Tamandua tetradactyla: one gene and its partners. Each later gene encodes a partner of the first gene's protein in a complex. Links are inferred from orthologs where the notes say so. Each region holds a gene or a part of one and is shown in the gene's direction. Other genes may lie near its edges.

Region 1 (7,819 bases):
TGGCACTATAGAGATTGCTCCCTGAAAACTCTCCTGTGCTGCATAGGAGAATAACAAGAACTGTTTTTCTTTTTCCTTTTGGAAAAGTCAAGATGAGATGGAGACAAGTGCTTGAGTGAGTCATCCCTCATTCTTAATAGCAGCTGACATTTACTGATATGTTTGTGTGTGCCAGGTACTGTTTTAAACACTTTAAAAGCTCATCTGTCACAAAAACCCTATCAAGTAAACAATTATTAATGTCATTATGCCCATTTTACAGACTACAACACAGAGGTGCAGAGAGGCTGGGGAAGAGGCGGTAAGGAACTGGCAACGCTGTGGAGCCTGGGGTTTAAGCACTGTGGGCCCCTCGGCTCTGAGGCACCCTCACCCAGGAAGCTTGATTGCCGCAGGCATAGCCACTGTGTGCTGTTTTCCCCTCTCCTTGGAAAGGTGTGATCCCTCCTTAGGTGGGGGGGAGACAGAGGAAGGAAGCGGCCCTGGGGGAGCCTCAGGGAGAAGAGGGGCTCCCCCGACATGAGCTCTGGGCCGCAGTGGCCTGGAGGGTCGAGGCCCTGGCTAAATGAGGGGTGGCAACTGCTCAGCACTGTGATGACCTGGCCAGATGGCCAAACATTGCTGTTTTAAAAAGAGCCAGATCTTCGACTTTTTATATGGCGTTTCCCAATTTTTAAATGTTAAAACATTCATAATTAAGGGAAAAATACCCTATAAATCACACCTGTGGGCCAGTGTGCCCGCTCTGCTGTGCCTTGTTTCCACGTTTAAGCCTTAGGCCCATCTTGTTAAGGGAGTGTCATCCCTTGTTCCACAAATGAGGCCAGCAAAGCCCTTGGAGGGAGGGAGTCCCTTACCCGCGGTTACCCGCGGTTGCATAGGCAGGAAGCCACAGTGCTGGGGGGTCTGCCTAACTCCAAAGGCTGGCTCCTGGTAGAGCACCTCTCAGACCCAGCCAGAGCTGGCACAGTGACAGGACACCTCCAGGGACAGTAAACTGTCAGTCGGGCAGAGAAATCAGTCTAACAATGAGGGATCCTTCAAGAGGAATGAGGAGTTGGGGGCACAAAACTCCCCACCTCCCCCTCCCAGGACTGGACAATGGATGTCTTTGTGCCCCATAAAATAAAGGTGCCACAGAATCACTTCTGATTATGTACTCAGTATAATGATGGGATGTACATGCTTGGAGATTTTATTTTTTTTAAGCTCAACATATATGTATTTTGAGGGGCCATGTTTATGGAATAAATGGTTTTACCTTATTTGTGTCAATTGTCAAACTTCTTAACAAGTGTGTTGTGCAGGTGCATAGACAATTCTGACTCCCACACTGGACTGTGAGATACAGGTGTCAGAGATGAGTCCGGCTTTTCACAGCTGTCTCCCAGCACCTGGCACAATGTCTGACAAACAGTAGGTGCTCAGTGCAGATCTGTGGATCGAATCAGTGTGCCTCAGAGGTGAGGTGACTTGTCCAAGTTCGCACAGACCTAGATCCCTGTTTTGACCATGTGATTTAGAAGCCCAAGCTGTCACCCCTACATCATCCTGCCTCTTGGAAAGAACCAAGGGGAATGTGTCTTCTGAGAGAGAATTGTGGGTCCCCCTTTGGACTCCTCTTGAATGAAGAGTTAGTGGAGGTGGAAATGGGAGTAAATTCCTACGGAACCGCACTCCACCGTGCTACCTTTTGAAAGCTCTGCATCTCAGGGTAATTTTAGAGGGTGGTAGGGTATGAAGGGCAGACCCTGGGGACTGTAGAGGAGCAGGCTGCCGGTGAGGGCCCCTCTCTCAGCCTCCTTCCTTTGCAGCAATGTGGATAAACAGACATTACTTATCGGATTATCAAGTTGAAAGGTGATCACCAATTGAAGTGGCTGCCCAGTAATTGTGGATTTTTTTTTTTTAAGCCTACCAACCTAGCAGAGGAGAGCTGTTGACATTGGGAACAGACTTATCAGGATCTGCCAGGCTCAGGGCCAAGGAGCCCGATCTGTCAGATCTCTTCTGCTTACAAATGGTTATTAGTAAGCAGAAGATACAGAAAATATATAAGAGATATAGAAGGTCCTTATCTCTTCTAGATTTCATGCTGGGAATTCTGGCCTTTGCTTGGCCTCCTCCATCTAGACCTGCTCTTTTCTGCTGTGGGAGAAGGAAGGCACCTATTTCTACCTGAGAGGTTATGTGCTTGATCGCCTGGATGGGGGCAGGACCTGGTGGGGAGTGGGGAGGGGCAGGGTGGCAAGTAGGGCTTTAGAAAATCCCTGGCCTTGTCCGCACCAAGCCTGAATAATAGCCTTTTCCTCTACTAGGCCAAGCTCATGCCTTATCCTCTACTAGGTAAGCTTATGCCCTCTGAGCCTTGGTTTCCTCATTTCATTGTAAATTGGGGTAATAATAACAGCATCTGCCTTCCTTTCCAGCAACCAGCATGGTGCTCAGCACATGACAGGTATTCAGTGAGTGTTTGTTGAATGACTATTGGGTTTGAGAGGGCTTTACAAAAGTGAGTGTTCCTATTATTGGGACCCTATGAGAGGGTGTAGGCAAAGGAAATGTTCTCCATATGGAATGGGAATGTTGCCAGCTTCTCTCAGTCTGTCAGGGTCTGGCTTAGTTATTTAGTATGTCACCTATCCCTCAGCTTCTCTATTTTCAGGTAAAAGAAGGACAGGCAGACCCCAGGGCTGGGAATCTAGCGTGGGTCAGATCCTACAATTAACTGGCTTCACAGACCCTGGTCCCTGGGTATGCCTTAGTGTTTCCATTTGTACAGCAAGAGGCTTATGTGATCTCTGTGGTCCCTTCCAGCTCTAACACATTCTATGATTTTCATGAGTAACATCACAAACTGATCATTACAAAAGGAAAGACATTCCTGCTGCTTTCCTAAATCACCTCCAATCTATAGAACATTTGTAAAATCCTTTGTGCTTTTTATCCTCATGGCAACCCTGGAAGGGGCCAGGGCAAGGTCTATGTGCCATCTTACAGATCAGGAAACTGAGGCTGAAAATTTTCCTTAAGGGGCTGTAATCTAAGGCTTCACCACGCATCTTGGTTATACAGGTATACCAATTTGTCTCAAATGTTAGAGTACTTAAAAATCACCTGGATGGGGGTGGGAAGGGATATGTGTTTAAAATGTAAATTCGTGGGCCCTCAAAGATTCTAATTTAGCAGGGCTGGGATGGGCCCAAAGTTAACAGGTGCCTAGGTGATTTTGAAGTGATCAGGACCACTCTTGGAGAACCAGGGCCTCCTTGGTGCATTCTGGGTAGCCTCTGTTTCTTTCATAACCCTCCTCTGTGCCTGTTCTGAGCCAGGCCAGCGTGCGGAGGGGGGCGCTGTTGGAGATCTTAGTCTGATAGGGGAGGCAGATGGAGAAACCAAGAAGCGTGATCAGTGCCTGAACAGAGAGGCAGCAACCGGCAATGGAGGAAGTGAGTAACTCCGACTCTGGTGGGCTCCCTGAAGAAGTGGTATTTAGACTGGACCAGGGGATTTGATTTTCGTTTGTGCCTTAGTTACTTTTTTTTCTTGTAGATCACCCACACCAAACAGCACTAGATTTGTACAAGTTATCAAATCTTTCACATTTCTGTCCCCAGTGTTGACACAAGGCCTGGCACAGTGTTGAGGACAATACTGGTCAAATGGACTGATATGAGCAAGGAGAAATGGCTGGTGGAGATGTCCCAGGGCTTCCGGATTAAATGCATTTTTTGTGCTCAGTATCCCCACCTCCTTCCTTTGGTTAGGTCCTAACATGGGGTCACATTAATGGCGGAAATTCCTCATCATGCTGTAAACATTTGCCACCTCTTCCTTCTCATCCTTTCACTAGACCGTGAGATCCTTAGGGCCAGTAGTCAAGGTCTTAAATAAGGATGGAGCACAAGGCAGGCTCTCAAAACGATTGTTGAATGAGCGAATGAATGAATGAGTTCAGGTAGAAGCTTGTGCATTGGCTATTGAAGGGATTCCAGCTAAGATGCGGCTGCAGGAAAGCGCCAGGTCCATATCGAGTTCTTCCCGGTTTCCTGGCAGCCCCCTCGGTTTGGGCTCTGACTGGGTAAGACTGACGGGATTGGGAGGAGCGTAGGACTTGAGAGTAAACAGCATAGGTGGATAGGTGGGGCAAGTTGAGGATGGGAAATATGTCTGGGGCTTTGGAGGTGGGCCTGAGAATTCAGAAAGGAGGAGGAGGAAGTTTCTGGAAATCTGGGCTGAGGTATGAGGGCTGCAGGTTGGGAGTGTGGGCTGCAGGTCTGGGGGTCATGTGCTATGGGGCTGCAGACGGAGACGTGATAGCAGCAGAATGGAAGCTCTACACCATGGTCAGCAGGACCGAGCGCGTGGGGCGGGGGTGGGGCCACCACGCCTTGAGCAGGGGCCGTCCGGGTTGGGGGCGGGGAGTGTGAACGCGCCGGGCACCGCCCCGACAAAGCCTGCGCGCGCCCCGGACCGCGATTGGCTGCACCGCCCCGCGCCGCCGCCCCGTGCAGCCCGTCGCCGCCGGCCCGGCGCGCTGCAACCAGTGGGCGCCGCCGCCGCCGTCTTCGTCATAACCCGGGAAGCCAATGGCGAGGGCGCTAGGCGGCTCGTGGCTCTTTCGCGGCAAAAAGGATTTGGCGCGTAAAAGTGGCCGGGACTTTGCAGGCAGCGGCGGCCCCGGGCGGAGTGGGATCCGGAGCGGGATCGAGCCCTCGCCGCGGCCGGCCACCATGGGCCCGCGCCGCCGCCGCCGCTTGCCACCCGGGCCGCGCGGGCCGTGAGCGCCATGGCCGTGGCCGGGGCCCCCGCGGGCGGCCCATGCGCGCCGGCGCTGGAGGCCCTCCTCGGGGCGGGCGCGCTGCGGCTGCTCGACTCCTCGCAGATCGTCATCATCTCTGCAGCGCAGGACGCCAGCGCCCCGCCGGCCCCTGCCGGCCCCTCCGCGCCCGCCGCGGGCTCAAGCGACGCCGACCTGCTGCTCTTCGCCACGCCTCAGGCGCTCCGGCCCACACCCAGCGCGCCGCGCCCTGCGCTCGGCCGCCCGCCGGTACGGACACCAGGGCCACTGGGCCAAGTGCGCAGCCTGTACCCCCGCGCCGACCCGGGCGGGGCGCAGTGTTTGGCCCGGAGGCAGCGGGGGGCGAGGGGAGGGGTGGACTGAAGCCCTCGGACTGGGCGGTGCAGAGCCTGGGTTGAGCCTCCGGGCCCCGCCCCGGGGTGCTGGGTGACCTCGGGCCAGTCCCTGTTTGCCACTCGGTGCTGTGGGCTTCACCATCCTAATCGGAGCCACTTGAGGGTAGACTTGGTGATAATAGTGGCCCACGTGTATGCAGCTGGCGCTTACTGCATGCCAGGCCTTTGGTTGAGCCTTTGGTGGACTTCAAGCCATCTAAAACCCACAACCACGCTGCGAGCTCGGTGTTGTCACTGTGCCCATCTGACGGAGGAGGAACTGAGGCTCAGAGAGGGGAAGTGACTTATCCCCATCACACAACTGGCAAGTGGTGAGGCTGGAATTTGAATTGAGGCCTGCTGGCTTCACACCAGGATTTGAGGTTGGGGAGTGAGCATGGCTAGCTGCGGAGGAGGGTGGGTGGGTCGTCCTGGGGTTGGGCTTTTGGGGAGCATTGAGAAGACTCACCTTCCTGCCTTGATGATGATCTGCCAGGTGCAGGCCTGGCCCTCCAGGCCCCTGGGGACAGGCTGCCTGATTGGGAGGCCTTCTCTGCAGGGGCGGGATGGCTGGGCCAGCTGCTGATCCCCTCCCTCTGCCTGTCCTTCCATCTGCTCCCCTCCACCCTCCCAGGCCCTGGTTGCCATGGAACCTCATTAATCAGGCAGGCAGACCCTTGGGCCCCTGTGGAAGGATGGGGTGGGTTGGGCCTCTGAGCTGGAGGCAAGATCCCTAGTGCCAGAAGAGAGAAAATGTCCCAGAGAAATGCCCTGATAGAGTCTTTCCTGAGCAACGAGAAGCGCAAGAGCATTTCAGACTGGGGGGGCCCAGACGTGGCTGGATTATAGCCGGAGAAAGGAGAGGAGCCCCGGAGCTTGGACCTGTGGGCCACAGGACAGGGTGTGGAGACCAGTTTGACTGGCACAGCCTGTGGGTGAAGGTGGGGCACAAACGGGCAGGCAGGGGCTGGCCAGGAAGGATGGGGTCTCACGGGGGCTTGGAACAAGTGGGAGGGGCGAGGCAGGGCCCAGGACGAGGTGGAAACCACCCAACCGCTGATGGAGGCGCGGGTGGCAGCTGGTCCCAGAGGCATCCCAGGAGCCTCCCCTGGCCCCCTTGGCCCCATGCCCAGTGCTGCCTTCCTTCCGGAATCACCAAGATGCTAATAATAATAACAATAGCAGCCACCGTTGTTGGGAGAGTATTTTGTATGCAGGCTCTGCGCCAAGCACTTTATCCAAATTAACTCATTTAACCCTTTTACAGAGGGGGACGCTGAGGCCTCAGATTTTAGAACTTCCTCAGTTACTTAGCTTGCTAGTGGTGGGACCAGACTGATGAATTCAGCAGCAGTCCAGATTTCCTGAGCAGTTAGCTGCCGGGATGCCTCGCCTCCTGGAGATGCTGTTGGAAGTTGAATGAAACCCAGGTTGATTTTAGGGGCCCTTCCTTCTGATGAGTGAGTGGGTTGATAGTGTACCAGGGAGGGTACATATGCTTCCTATACTCCCAGTGGCCTGGCCCCGAGGGTACCAGCTTGGGGCCTGGGCAGGTAACTTCCATCTTGCTGACTGAGAAGATCTTAACAGGCCCAGGGCTGCAGGGACAGTGGCAGAGCCTGCAGGGGGGATGGGCTAGGGGCTGGATGCCACCAGCAGCATTCATTCTGCAGCTGGTGAGTTAGTGAGGACAGCTAAGCACGGGGTCAAATGAGGAGACCCTGTCCACAGTGCCTAAGGGCCAGTGAGCATTTTTCTCCTGGAGTGTGTGAGGGGGAGGGGCTGGAATCATTCTGGAGCTGAAGTTTAGAAACATCGGCCCAGCCTTTGCTCTCCAGCACCCCCAACTCTTGCAGCTGTGGGTAGCCACTAGGCAAAGAGCTGTGGTCTCCACTGACCCTCTGCACTGGCATTTGTTTGGGGGCAGTTCTGGAAAAAACTATAGTCTCAGCTTCTGTAGCAATGAGCGTTTATCAAGCACCTACTACATACAAGGCTCTGCAATTCAGCCATTCCTCCTGACCCTTTATGTCCACCTCCACCCTGCTGGTGGCCATTCAGTTTTTAAAAAAGTTTTCCCATTACAAATATATGTTTACTGTAGAAAAGAATTTAAGATAGTAGAAATTTGAACAACGATCCCAAATAAATCTTTTTCCTGTGTTTTCTTTCCCTAAGTATTTTTTTTTATGTAGTTATGACAGCCTTCATTTCCTAAGGGTTTTTAAAACTATCTTCTCTTAACTCCCTTGTTCTAATAGCACATTATTCCTACCATACAAATAAGGGAGCAATCCCCCTTGACGCCCTTATGCAAGCAGAGGTTGCTCCTGAAATGGATCAGTGTCATGGAAATGGTACCAAGGAAAACAGATTTCATGATTTGTTTTTAATCCAAATAGGGACCGTATTAATGCATTGCATTATAACAATGTTATGGCTTGTCAGTGTGTCTTTGATTCTTTGTCAGACTGCCTCAGTCCTCTTTGGCAGCCATATGGTATTCCAAGGGCTAAATAATCCACAGTTTTTGTGGCCTTCTGTCCCGGGTAGGAGGTTGAGTCTCGATTTTTCACCAGTGAATGTCTTTTCCTTGCTTTTCATGTCCCCTGTGCTAGGGTTTATTTAGAGGGTGGCCAGTAGG
Region 2 (7,303 bases), on another chromosome or scaffold:
GGTTTGTGGATAAATAATGGCTTGGCACCAAATACATGAGGTGCAAAAACATGCGAAACTAAAGAAGAGATTTGGCTAGGAGCACACAGGTGTCCAACTCAGAAAGAGAAACCCGGGATGGCGGTGCGGCCTGGGTGCCGGGCTCCTCTGGGAGGGCAGCGGGGCTGGTGGGGACGCCGGGGCGGCAGCTCTCCTCCTCAGGCTGCTGTGAGGGTCCAGCCAGAGTCCTCCGGCCTCACATCGCTTACTGTACATGTCTGAGGATGAAGAAGATATTTTATCGTAAAAAGGGCTTTAGGTTTGGGATTAAGAAGCTGCCTTTATTCCACGTGGCTGTGAAACCCTTCCCGTCCCCTAACAGTCACCCCAGAGGTGGACTGGCCTGGCCCCAAGGTGGCCCGACTGCCCACAGGACGTGTCCCCAGGGCAGGTCCGACCTGACGCTGGGTGTGTCGTTTCCCTTGGCAGCCCCGGGCAGATTAGGTGCCACGGGGCACTTAGAAGCAATCCTCTCTGGACCCCGCTGACCCTGGGCTGTGTCTGATGAGAAGCTGTGACCCAGCGTGTGGCTGCCTGCCCTGCGGCACGCCAGGAAGCGTGCTGGAAAAGCGGCCTACACTGCGCCCCAGAGCTGCGGGTCTGAACCCCGGCTGGAACCCCCTACGACTCCTGAGCGCATCCGTGTGGGAGAGGCCACAGGCAGGTGTCCTCACAGCCCACGCAGAAAAGAGCGTCCAGCGCCAGGAGTGGATGTGAGGATGGAGCGGTGGCAGGTCACCTGGTCTGTGACAGGTCACCAGGTCTAACTGTGGCAGGTCACCTAGTCTATGGTGGCAGGTCACCAGGTCTAAATGTGACAGGTCACCAGGTCTAACGTGGCAGGTCACCTAGTCTATGGTGGCAGGTCACCAGGTCTAAATGTGACCGGTCACCAGGTCTAACGTGGCAGGTCACCTAGTCTATGGTGGCAGGTCACCAGGTCTAAATGTGACAGGTCACCAGGTCTAACGTGGCAGGTCACCTAGTCTATGGTGGCAGGTCACCAGGTCTAAATGTGACCGGTCACCAGGTCTAACGTGGCAGGTCACCTAGTCTATGGTGGCAGGTCACCAGGTCTAAATGTGACCGGTCACCAGGTCTAACGTGGCAGGTCACCTAGTCTATGGTGGCAGGTCACCAGGTCTAAATGTGACAGGTCACCAGGTCTAACGTGGCAGGTCACCAGGTCTAACGTGCCAGGTCACCAGCTCTCAAAGTGACAGTCACCAGGTCTAACGGGGCAGGTCACCTGGTCTAGCTGTGAGGGAGGCTGGTCTTCCTCACACGGCGCTTGGCCCCCTAGTGGACAGCCCACACAAATGCAAGTGGGAGATTGACCCTCCTTCTTCCCCGACGCCCTCGGCCGCCGCACTCTCATCCCTTCCATAACACCTGCTCTTCTTCCCTTACGCACCGAAGAGACAGTAGCGAATACAGGGTGACAAGGCTGTGACCCCCCCAGAGTCACAGGATTCGGACACGAAGTGCGCAGTCACGAGTCCGGTGAGTGTCAGGAAGGCCGTCTGAGTCGCAGCGGAGCACAGCTGGGGTGGGGCTAGACGAAGCTTTTCCGGAGAAAGTAGTTAAGCTTAGACAAGAACTAGGGGATCGCTCGAAGCACCAGAAACACCAGATTAATGGAGCTTTTTGGACATTTATATTTACTTCTCCAACGCCCGCCACTGTTTCGGGCATACAGTAACTACTTCCTAAGTTTTTGCTGAATCAATAAGCTCGATTCTATCACGGTTTAGACATCTACTCGCCAGAACCGGGAGATGGTGGAAGCTTCATTTTCCTTTTCAGAGAGAAGAGGATCCTTTAATGGGGAAGTGAGAACGAAGAGGGAAAATTGACTGTTGTGCAAATTGCTCAGCTGGAGTTATGAGTGGGAAGGAAAATTTGATTTACATGAAGTTTTCCTCCCTGTGGCAACTTGATGATTTATTCTGTTCTAGAGAATTTTCAGTTTTTGGCTTCAAAACCAGGCTGTTCCTTATTCTGAATTTCTTGGCCTGCTGTGAAATCGGCTTTTATTGTCTTTTACAGCACGTTCTGATGAGCTCATGGAAATTCACAGCTAGATCACACCAGTATATGGGAAATTTGAAACTTGGTCCATTTTACGTTGTGGTATTAGGAAGTGTTGTGAAACACCTACACATTTTTTTCAAAATCAATATTATTGAATGATTATAACAATTTCCATCATTTCTTGAATATTTACTATATATATTATATAAGCAAAATCCTCATATTAACTGCAAGAAAGGGGAACTGCATGAAAATTGTCGAATACTGCCAATTTCATATGATTCAATTTAGTATTACCTTCACTTCACTCTTAACCTTAGAAACATTAATCCCCGATTTCTAAACCATACCCTTACCGCATAATTGGGCATACTTTTTTTTATAGATAAGAGATATACTGACAACTACAGCTTCTCAATAATGCCTTGCCGCCTAGTATAGTCCCCGAGCCCCAGTGTGTACTTGCACCATCGCTGCCTGACACGTGTATTGGGGGTGGGAGTCCCGTTCCCTGGCTGACCCAGTTCCTGGAAAGGGAGGTTCTGTCCGCCTCAGTCGTTTTTGCATCTTCAGTGCCTAGAGAGTTCGATAACTATTTGCTAAATCAAATTGAATATAACCTTAACAAAATTTCTTGTAGGCACTAAATAGATCCTTATGATTTGTTAGTGGAAAATGTAAGTTAATCGCTCCTCCGGGATTTTGGCATTTCAGGACTGGGGGAGTCCTGCATCCGGCGTTCTTGGATTCCGAGCCCTTTACCTAAGCGCAGTTACGCAGAAATTGTCCCCCACAAAGATCCACGGTGCTCTCGCCCCTCCATCCTCGTTTAACTGCTGTCTTCCTTGATCACCGTTTTTAATACTGAAGCCACCTGTGAGCACCTTCTATAATTAATTTTTCCGTAGCCTTGCCAGCATGTAACTTTCTATTCTGCTTATTTTTTCTCTATGGTCTTTCCCACCCCACTAGACCGCAAGCTCCACCGAGGCCAGCGGGTCTGTTTTGTCCACAGGTGTGTCCCAAGCATCAAAAACAGTGTCTGCCCTTGTGTCTGATGCTCCTTTTATCCGTGTATGGGCAGATGAGTAAAAAACAAAGATGAAAAACAAATAACAGGGGGGATAAGGTGTAAAATGAATTGGGTAGATGGGAATACTAGTGGTCAATGAGAGGGAGGGATAAGGGGTAGGGGACACATGATATTTTAATTTTTTTTCTGGAGTGAGGCCAATGTTCTAAAATTGGCCACGGTGATGTGATATGTGAACCGCTGGCTGTACACCATGGCTAGACTGTACGTGCGTGAAGGGTTCTCAATACACTTTTTTTTAAAGACATACTTATCAAGTGAAAAGTAAAAAAGAGCGTTTATGGGAACAGAGAAGCGCGGGAAGCCCGGACCCGCGCCGACTCCGAAGAGGGCGGGGCGGTGTGGCGCGCGGCCCCGCCCCAGGCGGGAGGGTTGGGGCAAGGTTTGTTTATCTTCGCACGCACGGCCGGCTCGGCCAATCCGCCGCGGGCAACGCCTTGCGTCATGCGTCCAGCGGACCAATGGGTGCGCCCCGTGCTGTCCCGCCGCCAAAGGGGGCCACAACGGCCCGACGGCGCCTCGTGGGCTCGGGGCCGCGGCGGGAGCACACTTGCCGGCCGGTCGCTGCCCCGCGGGGCCGGGAAGGGCAGCGTCCCGCGCTTGCTCCGCTCGCGGCGCGGGGTGACCGCCGTGGGCCCGCCCTCTGTCCGCTCCGCCGCCCGGCCCGCGCCGCGGAAGGGCCGCGTTCTCCGCGGGCCTCGGAGGCGGGGCTGGCCGGTCGCTCCTCCTCCGTCGCGGGGCCGGGTGTGGTGTTCCTGAGGGACGCCCTGGAGGCCAGTGGAGGGAAGGGCCCCGCGCCGCGGTCCTCCTTCCCCGGAGATGGCCCCCTCACGCAGACGCAGCCTCCGCCCGTCCTCGGCGAGGCAGAAGCACGACCTCGGTGCCGCTCGGGACGACCCGGAGAAGTCGGCGTGGAGGACGGCCCGCGGCAGCCCGCCTCCCCGGTCATTGGGCCGCCTGTCGCGCGGCGGAGACACCGCCCCCGTGGCTGCGCGCGCCTGCCCCCCCCGCCCCGCCCCGCCCCGCCCCCAGCCCGGCGGAGATGCGCCGCCCGGAGCCGCCCCCCGCACGCGCCTCCCGGGGCCCCCAGGGCCGCGCCGCCCGCCGCCTTCTGGGAGTGCAGGGGCAGCGGCAGCGATGGGGTGCGTACGTTGGCTCGTCGAGTTCCGAGACTTGCTAACCCTCCCTTCTCAGCTTTCCTCCTTTCTGCTTGTTTACGTAGGAAAGAAAGCTGAAACTTTCTAGTGTGCAGGACTTCGCATTGCCATTTTGTGATCCTGTCATTTTCCGCCAACTCCTGTGAATGTGTGGTCCAACGGGCTCCTTCGTATTTTCCCGTTACAGCCGAAATTCTGAAACTACCTGGTCTGTGTACGCTGCAGTGCAGCTTGAAATGGGGTGTAGCAATAAGCTCACCTTTCATGTGGAAAGCGTGTGCTTGTGGATCAAAGCTGTACGCTAAAACATACCCTAAAATGTTCAAAGAGCAACTTGTTTAATTAGGAATTGAGATGTTAGAAATACTGTCTTGTTTTGTACATAATGCATGAATTATATTTACATAGCACTTAGCTGTTTTAAACATTTTTTATTATGATATATATACAAATCAATAAATTCCAACGTTCATTGTATCCAGGAGTTATAGAACAGATTTCAGAGTTTGGTATGGGCTACTGTTAACAGTTTTAGGTTTTTCCTTCTAGCTGTTCCAAGACACTGGAGATGAAAAATATCAGTATAATGATATTATATTGTTTATGTTATATTGTTAAATCCTGTCATCTCTGTTACAACTCCTCCTTCTCCTTTCATCCTTCTCCCAGTCTTTATGGGTTGTTTGGGTTATGCCCATTCTAACGTTATCATGTTGGAAAGGGGTGTCAAGAATATGGGCTCAGAAGATGGAACTAGTGAGACTGGCTTCTCTGGTTTTCAGGACTTATCTAGTCTAGGATCTCATCTGGAGGTTGTGTGTTTCTGAAAAGCAACCTTAATTCGTGAAATTTTTGTAGACTCTCACATAGAGTCGTAGGTGTTCTTTAGGGTTAACAGGAATGGTTTTGGTCACAGTTTGCAGACCTTGGTAATTAGCAATAGCTAGCTGAAGCTTGCATAAGAGCAGCCTCCAGAATAGCCTCTTGACTCTGTTTGAACCCTTTTAGCCACTGACACATTGTTTTGTTACAGTGTTGTTCCCCCCTTTGGTCAAGAAGGTGTTGTCTCTTCTGTGGTGCCAGGTCCAGGCTGGTCCCTGGGAGTCATGTCCCATCCTGCCAGGGAGACTTTCACCCCTGGATGTCTTGTCCCACGGTAGGGGGGAAGGGCAATGATTTCACTTGCAGAGCTGGGCTTGGAGAGGGAGGCACATCTGAGCAACAAAAGAGGTTTTCTGGAAGTCACTCTTAGGTATAACTATAGGTAAACTTAGGCTCTCTGCTACAGAAATAAGCTTCACAAAAACAAGTGTCTAGGCACTTTGCTATTTTAAAAGGCTTTTTATGTATTTGAGAGTTTTTAGAACATGGTAAGCAAATAGAGTAAGAAAAATAAAATAAACAAAAAAGGTGGTGAACTAGAACCTAAGTATTCTGATTTCTAGTCCATTGTTTCTTTTATCATTATAATTAGAGAAATTGTTGGTTTTCAGAACAATCATGTAGAAAGTACAGAGTTCTCACAAACCCATATACCTCCCCTCTACCTGCATGCCTGTCGTTTTCCATATTACTAACAGATTGCATTAGTGTGCTGCTTTTGTTTCAATTGATGAAACGGTATTACTGTAGATAAACTATTAGTTGTAGGCCATAGTTTACATACATTAGGGTTCATTCTTCAGGTTGTTCAGTTCTATGGTTTTTTAAAATTTTTATATGATAACATATAGATACAACTAAGAATTTCCCATTTTAACCACTTTCAAATATACATTTAAATGGTGGTAATTGCATTCACTGTGTGCTACCATCACTACCATCTGTTATGAAAACTTTTCCATCACCACGTAGAGAAACTCTTTACCCGTTAGCATTAATTCTTCAGTCTTTGACTCCATGGCATCCTCTGGTAACCTGTGTTCTAGTATTTGACTTTATGAATTTGCACATTCTAATTATTTCATATCATTGAGATTATACAATATTTGTCCTTTTGTAGCTGACTTATTTCATGCAACATGATGTCTTCAAGGTTCATTTATGATGTAGCATGTACCAGAACTTCATTCCTTTTTGTGGCTGAATAATATTCCATCATATATATATATATACCACATTTTGTTTATCCATTCATTATTTGATGGACACATCGGTTGCTTACCTCTTTTGGCAGTTGTGGCTAATGCTACTATGAATATCAGAGTGTAAATATCTGTTTGAATCTCTGCTTTCGATTTTCCTGGGTATATACCTAGCGGTGGGATTGCTGGATCATATGGTAGTACTCTAGACTTCTGAGAAACAACTAAACTCTTTTTCACAGTGGCTGCACCGTTTTGCCTTGCCACCAGTAATGAATGTATATTCCTGTTTCACCACATCCTCTCCCACACTTATTATTATTATTTTTAATAGTGTCCATTCTAGTGGGTGTGAAATGGTACCTCATTGTGGTTTTGATTTGCATTTCTCTAATGGCTAATGATGTTGAGCATCTTTTCATGTGCTTATTAGCCATTCGTATATTCTCTTTAGAGAAATGGCTATTCTAGTTCTTTTGCCCATTTTTTGATTGGGCTGTTTTGTCTTTGTTGTAGAGTTGTAGGATTTCTTTATATATTCTGAATATTAAACTCTTATCAGATATATGTCTTCCAAGTATTTTCTCCCATTCCATAGGTTGTCTTTTTGCTTTCATGATGAAGTTTTTTGATGCACAAAAATTTTTAATTTTGATGAGGTCCCATTTCTCTTTTTTTCTTTTGTTGCTTATGATTTTGGTGTAAAGTATAAGAAACCGTGGCCTAACATAAGAAAACATGTTTTATTCTAGGGTTTGTATAGTTTGGGTTCTTATATTTAGATCTTACATCCTTTTTGCATTAATTTTTGTAAATGGTATGTAGTAAATGGTATCCATTTCTCCTTACACCATTTGTTGAAGAGATGATTCTTTCCCCCATTGAGTGGACTTGGC
Region 3 (7,855 bases), on another chromosome or scaffold:
CCAGGTGTGTGCCAGCTCTGGCAGCCTCCTTCCATCCCACATCCCTGAACCCCAGGCTGAGGCGCACGGGCCTATGTGCCCAGGCCGCCCTCCCCGGCCTCCAGCCTGGCCCTAGAGAGAAACGGTCTCTCCTCTGTGCAGGCTGCGTCCTGGAAGATGAGCACCAAGGAATGGTCCACTACCACCTGCCCAGCTACGGCCTCAGCTGGGCAAAGGTGAGTGTATGCCTGGCATCTGGGACAGCACACCAAGGAGGTCACCGCTCTCTGGCGACTTGATTCCTTTCTCTTTTGGGTGGGAATCACATTCCATGCTGCTGCAGGTCCTCTTCTGATGTCTCCATGGCAACGTTCACAAGGATTTCATACAACATAAGTGTTTGAGCTGGAAGGGACTGCGGAGATCAGCTCTGCCCATCCCCTCATTTCACAGAGGGGGCGTAGGCCCAGGGAGGGCCTGCCACATACTCAGAGGCCCTTCCCAGCCAGAGGCCCTTTCCCCTGAGTGCACACACAGCCGAACTGGAGAACTTACTTCCTGGAAGGTGCTCTGGGGGCATTTGAGAGAGGGATGGGCCTATGGGGGTCCTTGTTGCAACCCAAGAGACTTCCCCCTCTCCACCCCTCTGCTGCCTTCCCCTTGTCAGTGCCCTTCCTTCCTGGCGAGCCCGGTCCTCCTCCGGGCCCTGTTGACAGCACTCTCCTTACTTCCTTCAGGTGTTTGGGACTCTGGAGCGAGCCAAGGAGGAGTACTCCCTGGACGACTACTCAGTCAGCCAGATCACCCTGGAGGACATCTTCCTGAGCCTCAACAGCCCCACGGCCCTAAGCAGGGGAGCGAGTTAACATGAGCGCGAGCAAAGCCACTGGGCCTCCCTCGCCCCAGGTCCTGCTCTCACATGGCAGCTTGTCTTGCTATAATAAAGGGTTCCTGGTGCCCAGACTAGCCCAGGGTATGGATGTTTGCCGTGGACAGTACCAGGCAGAGAAGCACATAGCTCTCCACCTGGGCCCAACCCAGCTTGGAGGCTTGGTGGAAGTGCTGGGGGTGTGTTAGTGCAAAAGTTGGCTGTGGCCTCATCCAGGTCAGCCACGTCCTATTCATAGTGATACAGAGACCTTGTCTGCCACAGCTCTGTGCTCAGTGCTTGGCAGGGCTCCCACCCATCTGCATGGCCCTCAGACCAGGCCTCAGCTTTGCTAACGGGCAAGGAGTCTGCAGAGCTGAGGGGATATGCTTCCCCAGAGCCTACACCCTTCCTTCTCCAGAACCCCTTCCTCATCTACTTCAGAGCCACATGTCCTCCCTCCCTCACGCATGGGTCGGGCATGGCAGCTGTGTGCACTGCCGTGGGCAGGGTTTGGACAGGTGTGCTGGGGTCCACACAGTGGCACACAGATCCCTCAGCATACACAGTGGAATCAGGGATGGGAGAGGAGGGGACGGCCACACACCAGGGCTGGGTGGCTTGCCACATGATGCCACGTGATACCACGTTCAAGCGTGGCACTTCAAAGAGTCCAGGAATTCTAAATTCAAACCTGACCTCCCAGGTCATAATGAAGGTAAGGTAGGAGAGAGCATATTTAAGTTTGCTAGCTAAAAGTAGTTTATACTTTTAAAATATTTAAATGTTTACATATACAGGCCCCCATTTGCTCCCTTGCCCTGGCGCCTGCCAGTGTTTGGGGTGAACCTGCATTTCATGCTACATGGACCTGATTAGCTTCCCCATTTCAAGAAGGGTAAGCTGAGACAGACAGTGTGGCCCCTTCCCAGGTCAACAGATAGCAGCACCTGGGCCCTGGACCAACAGCATCAGCAGCATCCAGAAACTGGTTAAAATGCAGATTCTCAGGCCCCACCTCAGACCTCTGATTCAGGAACTCTAGGAGGGCAGCCCAGCAGTCAGCAATATAACAGCCTGTCAGGTGATGCTGCTGTGCCAGCCTGAGAGCCACTGAGAGCGGCAGGCAGGGGGGCTGTGCTGGCCACACAGATTCTCCTGGAGACGGCACTCCATCACACAGCCTTTCCCTCTCCATCCAATGAAGTCCAACTACCTCTCACCATTGGCTCCCTTCAGAAAGACCCTCAGCTGCCATTCTGATGTCTGAGGAGCTCTTTCCTTTCCTTCTCAGCCAAGCTTCAGGAAAGTGTGGTCCACTTTCTATCAGCACAGCTAGTCTGACTCCTGTGCCCACCTGACTCCTATGCCCACCTCTCAGCCAGAATTAGAGCTTTGTCACACCCTAATTACCATGCCCACTGGCTTCTCTTAGTCCTTCCTTCATTCGAATTCCAAGGCACTACTCGCAGCCTCTGCTACTGGAGGAAAGCCTCTTCCTCACTGCTGCTCACTGCCTTCTGGCCTCCCCATCACTCCTGTCTCTGATGCAGGCTCCGTCCTCTTCCTTTGTGTCTAAATGGGGGCATCCCTCAGGCTCCCAGCCTACTTCGCTTTCCTTACTCTTCCCTCTGCACCCTGCCACCCTTGGCTTTCTCATTTACCCCCACCTCATTCCAGCCAGGATCTTCCCTGGGCTCCTGCCAATCTAGAAGTTTTCAAGTTCTCTAGCCCATCCCCATACTTTCTATGAGCTGCTCGTAGCTCTGGTTTGGCCCTCCCGGCTCTTGCTGCCAGTGTGGTGGATGGGAGGTGAGAGGAGTGGTGACTGAACACTACCTACAGCTGCTGCCAAGAGAACACCTGTTTCCTGAAAAATAAGACCTTGCTCTTAGTAAATAAGAGTTAAGAGGCAGCTGAGGTCCTTGGAGTAATAGGGTGATATTTTAGACAGCATGATGTGGGATCTGCATCCAGTGCAGAGTGAGTGGGAGCAGTGTGTGGCTGCTGATTTAGCCTAGTTCTGTAATCCCTCAAAGGAGGCAACAAAACTAGCCAGAAAAGAGTGCAACTCTTTCAGGAAGACAGGTAACAAAGTAACAGGGCGCGGAGGAGTTAGGCTGCTGAGTTACACCATGGGGGATATAGTAACCAGGGGGGAGGGAGGGGAGCCTGGTATGTCAGAAGCCCTGGTGGGTGCTTCCCCTTCCTCCTGTGGCAATACTGGACATCCAGAAAGCAGTCCCCCATCCAGCGCCAGCAGGCTCAACCCTGTCCTCTCTCAGCCTCCTGAACCCCCTTCCTCAGTTTGGGGCAGGGACTATTTCCAACTTTTAGGCCTCGTCTAATATGCCTTTGGGCCTTCCTGGCCTCTCCTGACCTGCACACTTGTCTCCTGCTCTGACCCCTGACTCCAAGGCTCCTTAGCTGTGTGCACCCACCCAGCACAGACAAGTTGTAGCAAGCTCAGTGAGCAGGAGGGATGGGGGACTGCCGGACACCCGAACAGGTCTCCCTCGCTCCTCAGAGGAAAAGCCACTCTTTCTATGAAACATCTCACTTCTCCGTAGAGATGCCTTTTCTTTCCTGACAGAATGTCTCAAGAAAGAGGTGGGGGTGAAGCTGGGCAGTGGAGGGCAGGCCCGGGTGGACAGTGCGCAGTGCGGGGTGAATAGAATGCCCCGAGTGTGAAACTTTCCCTGTGGACCGGCAGCAAGCAGGCCAAACCAGCAGGGATGGCCTGGTCCTCGGAGGCAGGAGAGACTGGACAGCCAGGGACTTAAGGAGCCGCTGGGGGCACGGGAGCCGTTTCCGGGAGGAAGGGCCCAACCTGTGGAGAGAAGTGCCCTGGGGTCTGCGGGGATCGGATCTGCCTGGCTCTCGGCGACGCCGGCCACGGCCCTCGGCAGGACCCCGGGCACCGCATCCCAGACAAACGGCGTCGCGGACCTCCGGCGCGAGGACGGGACACCCGGTGCCCGGGGGTCGCGCCCAACAGCCGCGCGCTCCCTGGGGACGCAGCCCGCGGAGGCGGGGTGGTTGCACGAGCTCCGCCAATGAACGGCCGGTGTTCGAATTCGCGTCCTGGCGCGGCCAATCGAGGGCTCCCGGGGACTTTGAGGCGGGCGGGGTGGGCGGGGAGGGGCGGGGCTCGGCGGCCCGCGCCCCCAGGGCCGGCCAATAGGAACACCGGGCGCGTTTGAAACCGCGGCGGGAGGCGGGCGCGGTCTGCGCCTGCGCGGCGGCGGCGCGCACTCGGGCGGCGCGAGCGGGCGGGCGATGGGGAGCGGCGGCGGTGAGTGCGGGCTGGGGGCTCGGGCCGGGGCGCGGGGCAGGCGGCTGGGTGGCAGCCGGCTCGAGGGGCCGGGATGGGGTGCCCGCTCCTGGGAGCATAGCGGGGCGCGGGTGGCCCGAAGGCCGGGCGGGCGCCGCAACCGGGAGCGAGCGCAGTGGCGGGCGGCGCTGAGGGTCCCGGCCCGCGGGCGCTGGGGGTCCCCAGTGGGCCCTCAGCGTGGGGGCGGCGCGCGGGCCCGGGCAGGGTCGGGGTCAGTCCCGGGTGAAGCACACACGCCGGGCACTGGCCGCCCGGAGGTAGACACAGGTCCCGACGGGGCGGTCGGCGGAGAGACGCTCCGAGAAGGGCGCGGGGTCGCGGCCGCGCGGCCGGTGGCGAGAAGCAACCTTCCCTCCCGAGGGCGGGCGGGCGGGCGACTGGAAAGGCAGCGCAGGATCTGCGGGTTCCCGCCTGGTGGGTCTGGTTTCCCAGGAAATGGGTCAGGCCGCACCGTAGGATGAGGCAGGAGTTGCCGGAGTACAAGTCGGAGCCGCCCTGGGGGAGAGGGTCCCCGCGGGTCTGCTCTGCGATGGGATGGCTAGGAGCCCTGCCGAGGGGCTGGCGTCTCCTGCCTCGAGGAGCTGGGCGTGGGACGCCGAGGGCTTGGCAGCCTCTGGTAGCCCCTCGCAGGAGGCAGCAGAGCCCAGACTTGGACACGAGACGACACGGCCTGGCCTTGGTTCCTCGGTGGGGCTGACCCTCCTTCAGGAGGGCCTACAACCAGGCTATTCAAGTCCTCAGACACTGAACGTTGTGCCTTTTAGTGAAGATAGAAGCAGATAATCCAAGCAAGGGTTCAGAGGGTTTTCCTGAGAATGGAATGCAAGGAAAAGTATCATTCCTGTTGGTCAGTGTTGTTTTTTTTCTCTGTCTGGTTGTCACTTAGTTCTGCCTAGAAAGTTTCCTAGTAGCCAAGTACATGGTATCTACTATTTTCCATAAATGTTAATTGAATATTTAAGCCAATTATTATGTCATCTATACTTTGTCACATATACTACTCCTTTATTTAATCTTTGTTTGGAAGTAGAAATGTGATCTGTTCCTTCTTTGTGGGATATGGGACAGCAACTGTTAAAGCATCTTCCAATACAACTCTTGATATCTTCATGACTCCTTTCCAGTACGTCACTCATACTGTTCTGATCTTTTTTCCCGAAGTGATCCACTGTAGGTGTGCCAAGTGTTTCTGTTATCCTACAAAGAGAAGAATAAGAAAAAGACCCCGAAACCTAACTCTTTTGAGTCTTCCCGAAGATGTACTGGTTCACATCCTGAAGTGGCTTTCTGTAGGGGATATCCTCGCTGTCCAAGCTGTGAGTTGCCTTGAAGATAGGACCAAAGAACACCTCGGGCTTTATCTGAGATTCTACAAAGTTTCCCTGCACTATGATTCCTCTCCAGACACTTCCAACCTCCAGATAGCTTCCTAGACCAGATAAGTCCTGAAACCCAGAGGGCCCAGCCTCTCCAGAACATCAACTAGTTCTATCCCCCATCCCATATTGTCGACACCCGTTACCAGAATGAAAAAGTTAGAATAGGCATCGCACAGATACCCTTAAAGATTGGAAGAAAAATCAAGGAGAAGGAGTAGTAATAACAGAGAAGATAGGATTTAACAAATGCGTATGACTGCTGAATCATATTGATATTTTTTAGTCTTCAGTGTCTTGGAGCAGCTAGAAGGAAAAACCTAAAATTGTGGAATTGTAACTCATACCAAACTCTGAAATCTGTTCTGTAACTAATTGTTGCAGTGTGCTTTGAAATTTATTGCTTTTTTGTACATGCATTATTTTTCACAATTAAAAAAAAAAAACAAATAGGGCCAGCCCCAGTGTGGTTCACTGAACCACCAAGGCTTGGGTTCTTAATGAGCAGAACAAAACTTTTGCTCTAAAGGAGGGCACAGGGCAAGAAGATGATGTTGTTGATAGATGGTTGTGGTTTTGTTTCCAGTTACAGGAAAGTTTAAATGTAGCAGTCTGAGCTTGGACATTTTTGGTTCTCTGTGCTGTTTTATTTCAATTAAGGAAGTAGTTTACTGCCTTGTATGGCAGTAAAATTTGAATTACTTAAGAATTAAAACAGTATTAAATGGAAAAGGAAAAAAAATGGATAAGGATGTATTCTTGAGGACATTTCCATGTAATATTCCACACTGAAAGGCACTCTAGTAATTATAGATACTGGAACCCGAGCCTCAGAGTGATTCATGTTGAGTAACTTCACTATCATACTGCAAGTTAGTGTGAAAACTCAACAGGAACCCCTTCCTCTCCCACCCAAAGCTGCCTTCATCGCACTTGTAATTCATTGCATGGAACCCAGGGGGTTTCCGATGGCAGTGGAAAGGTATTGGCTCCAGATGCCCCCCTGGCCTCAGCCCAGCCCAGAGGCCTTGCTGCCTCCACCCCAGCAGAGGCTCCCTGGTTACCTATAGCTCCTACGTGAGTGTTATAGCCGTTTCCACTGGTCCCCACCACCTGGGGGATGCAGGCCATGCTCCCACTTGCAAGGCCCCAGGGAAAGAAGCGCAAAACAGATTGCTGTCCTGCCTACCCCCTTTAGAGCCAGTTCCTCTGATCTCTGCAGACAGGCACCTCTGTAGAGGGGACTTCATTCTTTCCCAACCCAGGCATTTGTTCCTCCCTTTCCAAGACCTCTGTCTTCACCTTTAGAGCCTCAGAGAAACTCACCTCTGGACTCTTTCTTCTATTAAAAGCAACTGTTATTGGCATCCTTTACTATTTGGGGTTCGGAGGAAAATGGGAGACCCTGTAAGAGGCAACTTCCATGTCCAGCCTTCTAGAGCGTCTGGGAATGGGTCTTCTGGGAGGTCCTCTGATGGTCCCCCACCTGGCTGCCGTTCTGCAGGTGCACTCCCAGCTGAAGTTCCTGGTAGACCATCATGCCAGCATCTGGGCATGTGCAAGCTTCCAGGAACTCTGGCCGTCTCCAAAGAATCTGAAGCTCTTTGAAAGGTATGTCTACAGCCCAAGAGTGGCTCGGTTTCCCCCCATATCAGTCCTCTGGCTGGGAGCCTATGTCCCATGGTCTGACTCCCGCCAGCATTGCTGTTGGCCATGATATAGCCAGTAAATCACACTGCGTGTCCAGTGATCCACATGCTGGCATCCATCACAGTGGGGCTTCTGAAGGGTCCCACTTGGGCGTGACCCATTCCATGTGACTCACTGGCAAGCCAGCTGTATATGGAAGCTTTACTCAGACCTCCTTTCCATTAGATAAGAACATGTGATTTCGGTCCTACCCCATTTCAGTCACTGGCTGGTCATAACCCACCTGCCAGGGTCAGGACCAGAGGGGCCCCATGACCCCCTCTGTGCCACCCACCAGGTTCACGGTTGCAGGGGTACAACTAATCCCATGACATCTGACCTCAGAACCAGAGTCTGCTAGAGCCTCCTCAATTAACAAACCAAGAAGCCATGACTCAGGAGGGGCTTTTCCTTGCTGAGGCTCACATGCCTACTTAGGTTCATTCTGGCCCTTATTTCTGAGTTGCTTGAAATCCAGGCAGAGAGCCAAGTTGGTGCACAAATGCCAGACTTCTGTATTGCTTTTGCCGAGCTTGAGCAGCTTCTGCATCATTGGTATATATTTTTTATTGAGAGACGATCTACACACTATATACTTCGCCCTTTCAG

Evidence for each region.
Region 2: E2F1 (region 1) and TFDP2 share a complex: the UniProt entries of both Homo sapiens proteins name them as parts of the DRTF1/E2F transcription factor complex. The link is inferred for Tamandua tetradactyla from reciprocal best matches to the Homo sapiens genes E2F1 and TFDP2.
Region 3: the proteins of E2F1 (region 1) and CCNF are in contact, whole or in part, in a cryo-EM structure (PDB 9CB3), measured with the Homo sapiens proteins. The link is inferred for Tamandua tetradactyla from reciprocal best matches to the Homo sapiens genes E2F1 and CCNF. Residues at the interface, in NP_005216.1 of Homo sapiens: Gly84, Arg85, Pro87, Val88, Lys89, Arg90, Arg91, Leu92, Asp93, Leu94, Glu95, Thr96; in NP_001752.2 of Homo sapiens: Met309, Ile312, Leu313, Asp315, Trp316, Glu319, Val320, Met323, Arg349, Leu352, Gln353, Trp379, Leu380, Thr381, Asp382, Thr384, Asp504, Tyr505, Val508, Leu510, Thr511.

The regions. Positions count from the first base shown.
Region 1 is NC_135327.1:19,289,021-19,296,839, forward strand, and holds the start of E2F1 (transcription factor E2F1), read left to right. Parts: upstream 1-4,774; 5' UTR 4,775-4,789; coding exon 4,790-5,050; intron 5,051-7,819. UniProt on the Homo sapiens protein: Transcription activator that binds DNA cooperatively with DP proteins through the E2 recognition site, 5'-TTTC[CG]CGC-3' found in the promoter region of a number of genes whose products are involved in cell cycle regulation or in DNA replication.
Region 2 is NC_135341.1:86,245,209-86,252,511, reverse strand, and holds the start of TFDP2 (transcription factor Dp-2), read left to right. Parts: upstream 1-4,222; 5' UTR 4,223-4,308; intron 4,309-7,303. UniProt on the Homo sapiens protein: Can stimulate E2F-dependent transcription.
Region 3 is NC_135349.1:54,972,659-54,980,513, reverse strand, and holds the start of CCNF (cyclin-F), read left to right. Parts: upstream 1-4,776; 5' UTR 4,777-5,290; coding exon 5,291-5,497; intron 5,498-7,061; coding exon 7,062-7,168; intron 7,169-7,855. Other genes in the region: ATP-binding cassette sub-family A member 17-like, read left to right, coding at 1-4, 142-215, 717-845. UniProt on the Homo sapiens protein: Substrate recognition component of a SCF (SKP1-CUL1-F-box protein) E3 ubiquitin-protein ligase complex which mediates the ubiquitination and subsequent proteasomal degradation of target proteins.